Linked DNA regions of Danio rerio. The protein of the gene in region 2 purifies or fractionates together with the protein of the main gene of each other region. This does not show direct contact. Links are inferred from orthologs where the notes say so. Each region holds a gene or a part of one and is shown on either strand. Other genes may lie near its edges. The genes, in order: maea and mkln1.

Evidence for each region.
Region 1: the proteins of mkln1 (region 2) and maea purify together in Homo sapiens (affinity purification with western blotting; 3 studies listed by BioGRID and IntAct, with this or other methods). This does not show direct contact. The link is inferred for Danio rerio from reciprocal best matches to the Homo sapiens genes MKLN1 and MAEA.

What each region holds. Positions count from the first base shown.
Region 1 is NC_133189.1:25,445,457-25,449,844, forward strand, and holds the start of maea (E3 ubiquitin-protein transferase MAEA), read right to left. Parts: upstream 2,860-4,388; 5' UTR 2,778-2,859; coding exon 2,709-2,777; exon of another isoform or gene 2,147-2,708; coding exon of another isoform or gene 2,105-2,146; intron 1-2,104.
Region 2 is NC_133179.1:12,276,497-12,280,327, forward strand, and holds part of mkln1 (muskelin), read left to right. Parts: intron 1-502; coding exon 503-695; intron 696-3,690; coding exon 3,691-3,768; intron 3,769-3,831. UniProt on the Homo sapiens protein: Component of the CTLH E3 ubiquitin-protein ligase complex that selectively accepts ubiquitin from UBE2H and mediates ubiquitination and subsequent proteasomal degradation of the transcription factor HBP1.

The DNA.
Region 1 (4,388 bases), on a different chromosome or scaffold from region 2:
CTAGGTTTTTTTGTGTAAGCAAGTATTTTACAGCACTTTATAAATACTCAAAAATGCCTCTGTCAATGTTTTCAAACCATTAGATTTGGTTTACCAAAGTCACACAAGTGGCAATTTCACATCTGTCACATCCATAACAGAGAAATGTAACATCCATAACGAAGTTTTTTCCTCATTAATGGAAATGTCAAATAAAATAAAACCAATCTTGTTTGTTCTATAGTGAGCTAACAATAGTAAGCTATAGTGAGCTGTTCTATAGTTATCCTTTTGATTAGCATTCTTTATTTTGGGTTGTGCACTTTAATTCATAGAATTTTTACCAAGTATGTTGTATACTATAAACTTGGATACTTTTTGGTCACGTACATAACGCATGTTTACTTCTCTCATTTAAAATATTAAAAATGTTTAAAGATTAATATTTTCGGATGACTTGACTTTGTGGTTAGTTGTTCTAGGAAATATAAACTAATGTTTCAATATAATGTTAACATATTCTTTCTCTGTGAGTTTTTGCTTTGAATTTTTACTACAAATGTCACATTCATAACGCTGGAATTGCTCTTTACCCAAAAAGTGGTACGGTCTGCTTTTTTGGTTCCTTAGACAGTGAAATGGGCCAAAAAAAAAGTACGATACTCTACCACACCATACCATAGGATTGTCACGATTCTAGAATTTGGTACCAATTTGTACAGAAATAAAAAAAAAAAGTCCATTTCCCGCAAACATTTGAGCGCTGTTGAGCACAGCGCTGATTCGCCATTGTGTTCACATGCTCAAAAGAAACGACTGTGATTGGCCGTGAAGGTCATTAGTTCACCAAATTCATTGCTGTTTACTTAGTGTAATAATCACAGTTTTTTCTGTTGAGTTAGTGAATACAATGGCAAATCAGCAGTGTTTAAGAATGTGCTCAACAGTGCACAAATGTTTGCAGGAAATTGATGTTTTTAAAATTTCAGTATCGATTGGTACCGAATTCCAGTATCATGACAACCCTATACCATATGGCTCAGGGCAGGCCACAAGACATTTATAATGAAATCTGAGAGCTCTTTCTACAGACTGCAACAGACCTGAGACATTCAAAGTTCAAAAAAAAGGAACCAAAACATTTTCGAAACATTCCATCTAACTTCAGTCAGAATGTGAATGTTGCCATCTATGGAGGATGAGGGAGCTCTCAGATATCCTCTAAAAATCTTAAACTGTGTTCTGGAGACAAAATAAAGGAAATTGTAAATGACATAAGGGTGAGAATTTAATAACAAAATGTAATTTTTGAGTAAACTAGCCCTGTAATGCTGGTTGCTATTCACTGCCAATTACTTTTTTTAAAGAAGAGGAAATGATATCAGGGTTATACATATTCATAGGTAGTTCGTTTTTAGGTGAACTCTTTAAGACATCTGTTTATTTCATTATTAGGCAGCAACCACCATTCATTTGTGACATACACTAGTAAAAATTAAATGTCATAAAAGGAATGTATTCCTTTTCGATTGTACACCATTATATAATTTGTAAATATGAACAAATATCAATTGTAATGATTCATCTACCTCTAAAACATTACACCAACCAGTCTCTTTTATGAAAGAGCTGTTCCACATATTTTCATTACACTTCCTCAACCAATGTGGCTTCTGGTTCTGCACCAAAATAGCGACTGGTATATATGGTTAGATCATGATGCAATGATCAAGAATGTACTGGAAATCATTCCCAATGCTGCAAGACAAGCTTAGATGCAACATGCCCTTGACACAGCAGTGAAGACCATATATTATTGACATTCAGTGTGCGTTTACATAAACAGGCGTCAAATTACATGAGATCCATGAACTAATCACGTCACAAAGCACTCAATGCATCATCAATCAGTCAAAAGAACCGGTTAACGTGAGGATTCATCCATAACGACGCTATCAATCGTGAAAAAAACCTCTGACGCAGAGAACAAAGGTGCTGTATCCCACCCATTACCGTAAATAATAAGCTCCTCATCGACAATCTACACCTGGTTGTTAAGCCCGCAAACGACCAACACAACATGATACAATGTGATCCTAATATGGTGCATAAATCGCATGCATACCGATCTCTGGTCACCATTGGCATGTGTATATCCCTCCAGCATTCATCTAAAGCCACGGAAAATCATAGCTTTAGATGACAGCCGCCAAATAGCAATCAAACGCACACATGAGACTGAACAGCAGTCGATTATGAAGCATCAGTACATCCGATATTATTCGTGTCACTCACTATCCAACCTCGCTAATGATTATCGTCAATCTGCCTTGAACTGCATTGCTCGCTGGTTACACTAGTGGACAAACCTGTGATGGGATAAAACAGCGTCTATTAACACAACACTGTCGGAACGCAAGAATGACATGGGCCAGACTGACATTAATCGACTCATTTACCCCTTTAACACAGCTGTCGACGCAATTTATAACTGAACATGCGATGTCACTGCTGGAATATTTGCGATCACTCCGGTTAGATCGGTTTGTGTGGGACTTGTTTTGCTAAGTTATCTAGCCCCAGAGCTAACCAGTTAACTGTCTAAATGCAGACACAGTTTTAATTTGATGGATAATCTCAGTTTGATGCCCTGTTATTGAGGTCAAACAACGCACACGGAATCTGTTTAGTTGCGTGATTAGATTATGGAGAGGAAACGCTTGACAGACCTTTAAAGTTGGGTATTCTTGCACCTTTAGGGCCATAGAGAGTTGAGCTGCTGTCTCTTGCACCGCCATCTTGCTTTGGGGAAACTGTGGAGCGTTTGTTCGTCTTCTTCCCGGATTTGGTCTTCGCCGCGGCAGCGAGGTTAGAACTGTTTGTTACCGCCTCCTAGTGTGGCGGTGAATGCTTGTGTTTTTAGGATCAAAAAGATAATTCAGCCAAAAATAAAAATGTACCCATTATTTAAGGCACAGCTGTCAAAATCAGTTTGTGGATCGCCTCAGCTGCACAGATAGAGGTAAAGTTGGTTTTATATTCGGATATTCAGACATTCTCCTGAATAATATAATTCCAGAAAAATATTATTTGAAAATTGTAAATAGCGAAATCATATTAGCAGTAAATGATCGTTAAAGTACAACATTGTTCACAGTGAATTACATAGTGTTAATGTTGTTTAGAAGTCATACTTGCATGCTAATTCCGATCGAATATTCAAAGTAACATGGTAAACAAGAAAGAGACTTCTAAATGAACGAATATGCGAATATAAAACCAACTTTACCTCTATTCTGCACAGTTAACGTTAAGTTCCAACAGTTCAGCAAAGGTAGCAACAGATTCACAGATTCGTTGCTAACTTTACTGAACTAGTTCCAACCCTAATGGACTCCTTTTAAAAGACATTTAACTTAAGGGTCATTGTTTAACACGTTTAGCAGTCATCATAAACTTAAATCCCTGAAAGTTTTTAATATTTAGATTTTTAAAAAACACGTAAACATTTATATGCATTTATGAATGTATTAGATCAACTTTGCGTCAAATTACATTAAAACCAATTACCTCTAAAGCGAGGTGTTTGTAGCGTCTGTAGGGCTTAGAGTAAATTTGATGTTATTGTCTCCTCTGGCTGCCATCATCAGTCTCACACAATTTTTTCCCCCTATTTCTGAAAGTCGTGATAACACCACCATGGAGTTTTTTATATTTCAGCAAATAGGATTGTAAAAGATGTTTTTGTTGTACTCTCCCATTCACTGCGCTCTAAGTTTACCCAACCATGATGCCTTCCACTACTGAGAAAGCCAGAAGTGTGAAAAGGGTCTATTAAACACACATGATCAAACTAACCGAGTCCTTCAGGCTTGTTTGAAATCTACAGGTAACAGTCACACTAGAGTTTGAGCATGTGAAATCCTGTTATATGTCGCTGCAAGAGGGGCGGGATTAAACAAGATGATTATACATTAAAAAAAAAAAAACAAGTGATAGGTCCATGTTTTAAATTCCTGTCCGAAGAGGTCATTTTTGGATTTTCGATCTCACGCAATTATGTGATGCGATTTTGTACTCCAAGTTTGATCTTTTCAACGCAGCAATCTGCGTTTTCAATGTGACGCATTCTTGTGCGTATGAATGGATGTCTATAGGGAGAAAAGTGCAGTGTGATCGCAACTTAAGTATGTTGGAGTTGGGTTGGAACCAATGGTGTAGTCAGGGCTATACGCATGTATACTCCATATGCTTACTTTTTTACCACTGTTTGGGTATTACGACTTTAAAGGATCAATAATTGCGTATACCCTCGATATACTCACTTTTTTTGGTGATTAAATTTCCCTAATTTATGTGTATTCGTGTCACCTTTAACTGTATACCAAATGTTTTTCGCATCTGAAACT
Region 2 (3,831 bases):
TATAAAGCAATTACATTTTTTGCAGTTACTATTATGATGGTTATTCACCATTGTGAACTGGAAATATAGATATTTAATTTGTAATTTATTTTTATTTAGTTACATTTTTTATATGATTGTTTGAAAATAACTAAATATAAATCATTTCTTGACAGGTTATGTGAGATTTGACCTTCAATTTTTTGAAAAGTCCACATTCTGCAGTCTATAATGTGTTCATTTCAAAGATTTATGTACCGTTAAACAATTATTAGTCATACAGCATGAAAATTAAAGTATTAAATATTTAATTTCTTTCACACTAACAGAAAACTGCGTCATTGTCTGTGCACGTCATAATCATTAACAGTTTTTTAATGCGCCAACCTGTTCCAGTTAGGAAAACATTCATGTTTTTATAACCCTCATATCCCGTTTGCACAGGCAGTTTCACACAATGTTAAACATGAATTGAAGGCACATTACAACTAAAGTGTTTTCGTTTTTCCTCTTTCCTGAACAGTACCGTGAACAAGAGGCCATCCGCTTGTGCCTGAAACACTTCCGGCAGCACAACTACACAGAAGCCTTCGAATCCCTGCAGAAGAAAACACGGATCGCTCTGGAGCACCCCATGCTTACGCACCTACACGAGCGGCTGGTTCTCAGAGGAGACTTTGACGCCTGCGAGGAGCTGATAGATAAGGCCGTGAGAGGTACCTCACCCACGGTTTCATCATATGGATCTGCGCCATATTCATTAAGTAGGGAATGTGGGCATGTTGGTTCACTGTAGGGAACAGAATGGTTCTGGATTGTAATCGTGTTACGTGGTGAGCAAGTACATCCTTGTTGACGTTTAATGTCAAATATAGATGATCTCTGCACAGAAGGTCAGGTTCAGTCAATGTTAGAGCTGTATTTGTGATGTAAAGTGTTTAGATCATAGGTCTCAAACTCGATTCAGCTGCAGCTCTGCACAGTTTTCCTCCAACCCTAATCAAACACAGCTGACCCAACTAATCAAGGTGTTCAAGACTACTAGAGACTAGCAAGCAGGTGTGTGTTGGAGGCGGTTGGAGCTAAACTGCAGTGCTGTGGCCCTCCAGGAATTGAGTTTGAGACCACTGCTTTAGATGATGGCAGAAAAACTCAATTCATAGCATTGGGGAACAGCAGAATGTACTTTAAATATTAATGAAATAGTAGAGCAAGGGTTTGATTTCCAGTGATACCAAGATCCGAAAAAATGTGTGCCTTCAATGAAATGTAAGTCATATTTGTAACCTAAGTCATAATTGTAATTGTAAGTCATAATTGTAACCTGACTCACATTTGTACTTCCTCATACTCTCACTATATGAATAATAGTGACCTTTTTTACTGTTTTCAAAAACTCCCACTTAAACTAATGTTGGTCTGTTGTTTTGACTAAAGGGGACCATTTAAAATAAGCACTCATGCATTTTCAATACAAGTAATATTTATTTTTAACCTTGTGAGTCATATAGAAACAAACAGTCACCAACAAAAACCACCAACATGCAGTTATTTAAAGGATTTCCCTCAAACCTGCAGACCTGTCGGTGGTTTCACACCAACACCACTGAGAATCGTAGTGTTGGTCATATGTCAGTATGCATCTCTTCACATTAGAGCTGGCTTCAGTTAAACTTACAGAATGCGTGTTCACAAAACCCCTTTATGGAGGCTTTTAAAAGATGTCTGGATGTTATTTGACCCATTATTTCAGACTTTTTCGTTTTAATCAAACATCCTATTTTGGCAAAATTGTTGTAAATGTGTAGTATTTCACCCTATGTAAATCTATTTTAATGCTAGGTATACAAAGTGGAAAAAACACGGGCTGTTTCTCAATTCCAAGAATGCAGAGAACGGACTTGCGCTCTTGTGAAGACCAGTCTTGCTAGGTTACCTCAAAAGAACGAACTGGGAAGACCACGAGAACACAAACCGCGTCCTGTGAGAAATAAGACGATGCGTTCTTCCTGATGGTCACATGACCTACAAGCATTTTTAACAGAAACTTATTTAAATATTACAGCATATATACAAGGATTTTTTGTTTTCCCTCTTTTCAATAAGTATAACATGCACGAAACCCTAACAAATATACATTGCACAATACAAATACATCAGTTTTTAATATGAACTTTAGCAAATAAACACCCTTAATGTGGTTGTCTTTATTAAGATTTTCATGGTTATGTTTACTTTCACCATCTTATTTAGTGAAACTCCTGAGATAAATTAGTTTTATCTCTAAATTCTAATAATAAATCTATATAAAATGCTGCGCTTTCCCACCTCTCGTCGCAATGACTTCTGGGACTTCTAGAATGAGTTCGGTGCTCAAGTTTGCATCGGTGCATCCTCGATACCAAAGAAGCATCCTGGAACTTTCATGCGTCCTTCGTTCTTGTAGTTGTGAGTTTTGGAACTGACCTTTAATGGTGGATGATGACATTACATGAGGACACAAGATTGCTGAAGAACGCATATTGAGAAACCGCACAATAGTTCCTCTGAGGAAGTTCATGACAAAAAAAAATGTCCCAGTTGAAATCCATTAAAATGGAAGTATTACATCTCGGTGTCAAACAAAGAGTCATACACTCTTTACTAACAGTTCTCTAATTTGTTGGTATTAGATTAAGCTTTTTTAAATGCAGAATTTATCATATTTAGCTATATTTCTTCAGGTTTTGCCTGTGCAATAAATTTTGCATGTTGGCTGCATTTGAATATTGCAGGCCAAGTGAATTAATATTACGTAATTGTAATTATGTGGGTGTGTTGGTATGGATGAGTTTTTGCTTCATGTTTTTGACATTATGTAAACAAACTAATTTGAAGGGCTGAAATTCATAAAAGATGAGTTTTTGGTAGTTATACAATCATAAAATCAATATCAGAAAAAGTGTAAAATATAATTTTCTTATTTGTTAGACAGTTTTGCACTCTATGGACCAATGTGTAACGTTTGTTCGTTGGTTGGTTGGTTCGTTTTCTTTTCGGCTTAGTCCCTTTATCTATCAGGGGTCTCCACAGCGGAATGAACTGCCAACTTATACAGCAAATGTTTTACGCAGCGGACTTAAGGTCATATTTTGACTTATTTACAAATTATTCATGTTATTAACCTTATTCTACAATGCAGAAGTGCTTTCCTTTTTACAGTTGTTTCAGAACTTCTGATTCAGTCGCCTATGGGAATAATAAATAAAATGGTCAAAATACTTGCTCTACAATCAAATGTTTTCATGACTATACATAAAAAGTGGAATAATATAATAAGAAAACATCAGTGTTTCTAAATCAAACAGCATAACAAGTTGTTTTAAAAGTCTCAAAATCAATGAAAGCGAATAAGAGCGGAAGTCTGGAGCAAAGATTCCAATGGCTGCCGTACGCTCATACGTTAAGAATACGGTCAATAGGACTTTGGAATAAGTGTCGTCAATACTGTTATAAATCTTGTTTTAATAATATGTGAGCTGAGAAAAGTTTTTACACACTTCATGTTTAAAGTTGTTCTCAGTAGATCATATTTATACACACTCTCTTGAGTGGTCACAGTGTAAATTTGCGGTAATTAGAACCTAATGTACACTCGGATTGTTTTCCGCTCAGGGAGCATGCATTAGCAAATTAACGTGCACACTTGACTCTTTATCTGCTCTCTTCCAGATGGTTTGTTTAATCAGTACATCAGCCAGCAGGATTATAAGCCACGCTGGAGTCAGATCATCCCCAAATGTAACAAAGGTACGACAGCAGTCCGCTGTGGCACTGAATCTGGACACTGGACTCCAGGAAGTCTGCTGCTGT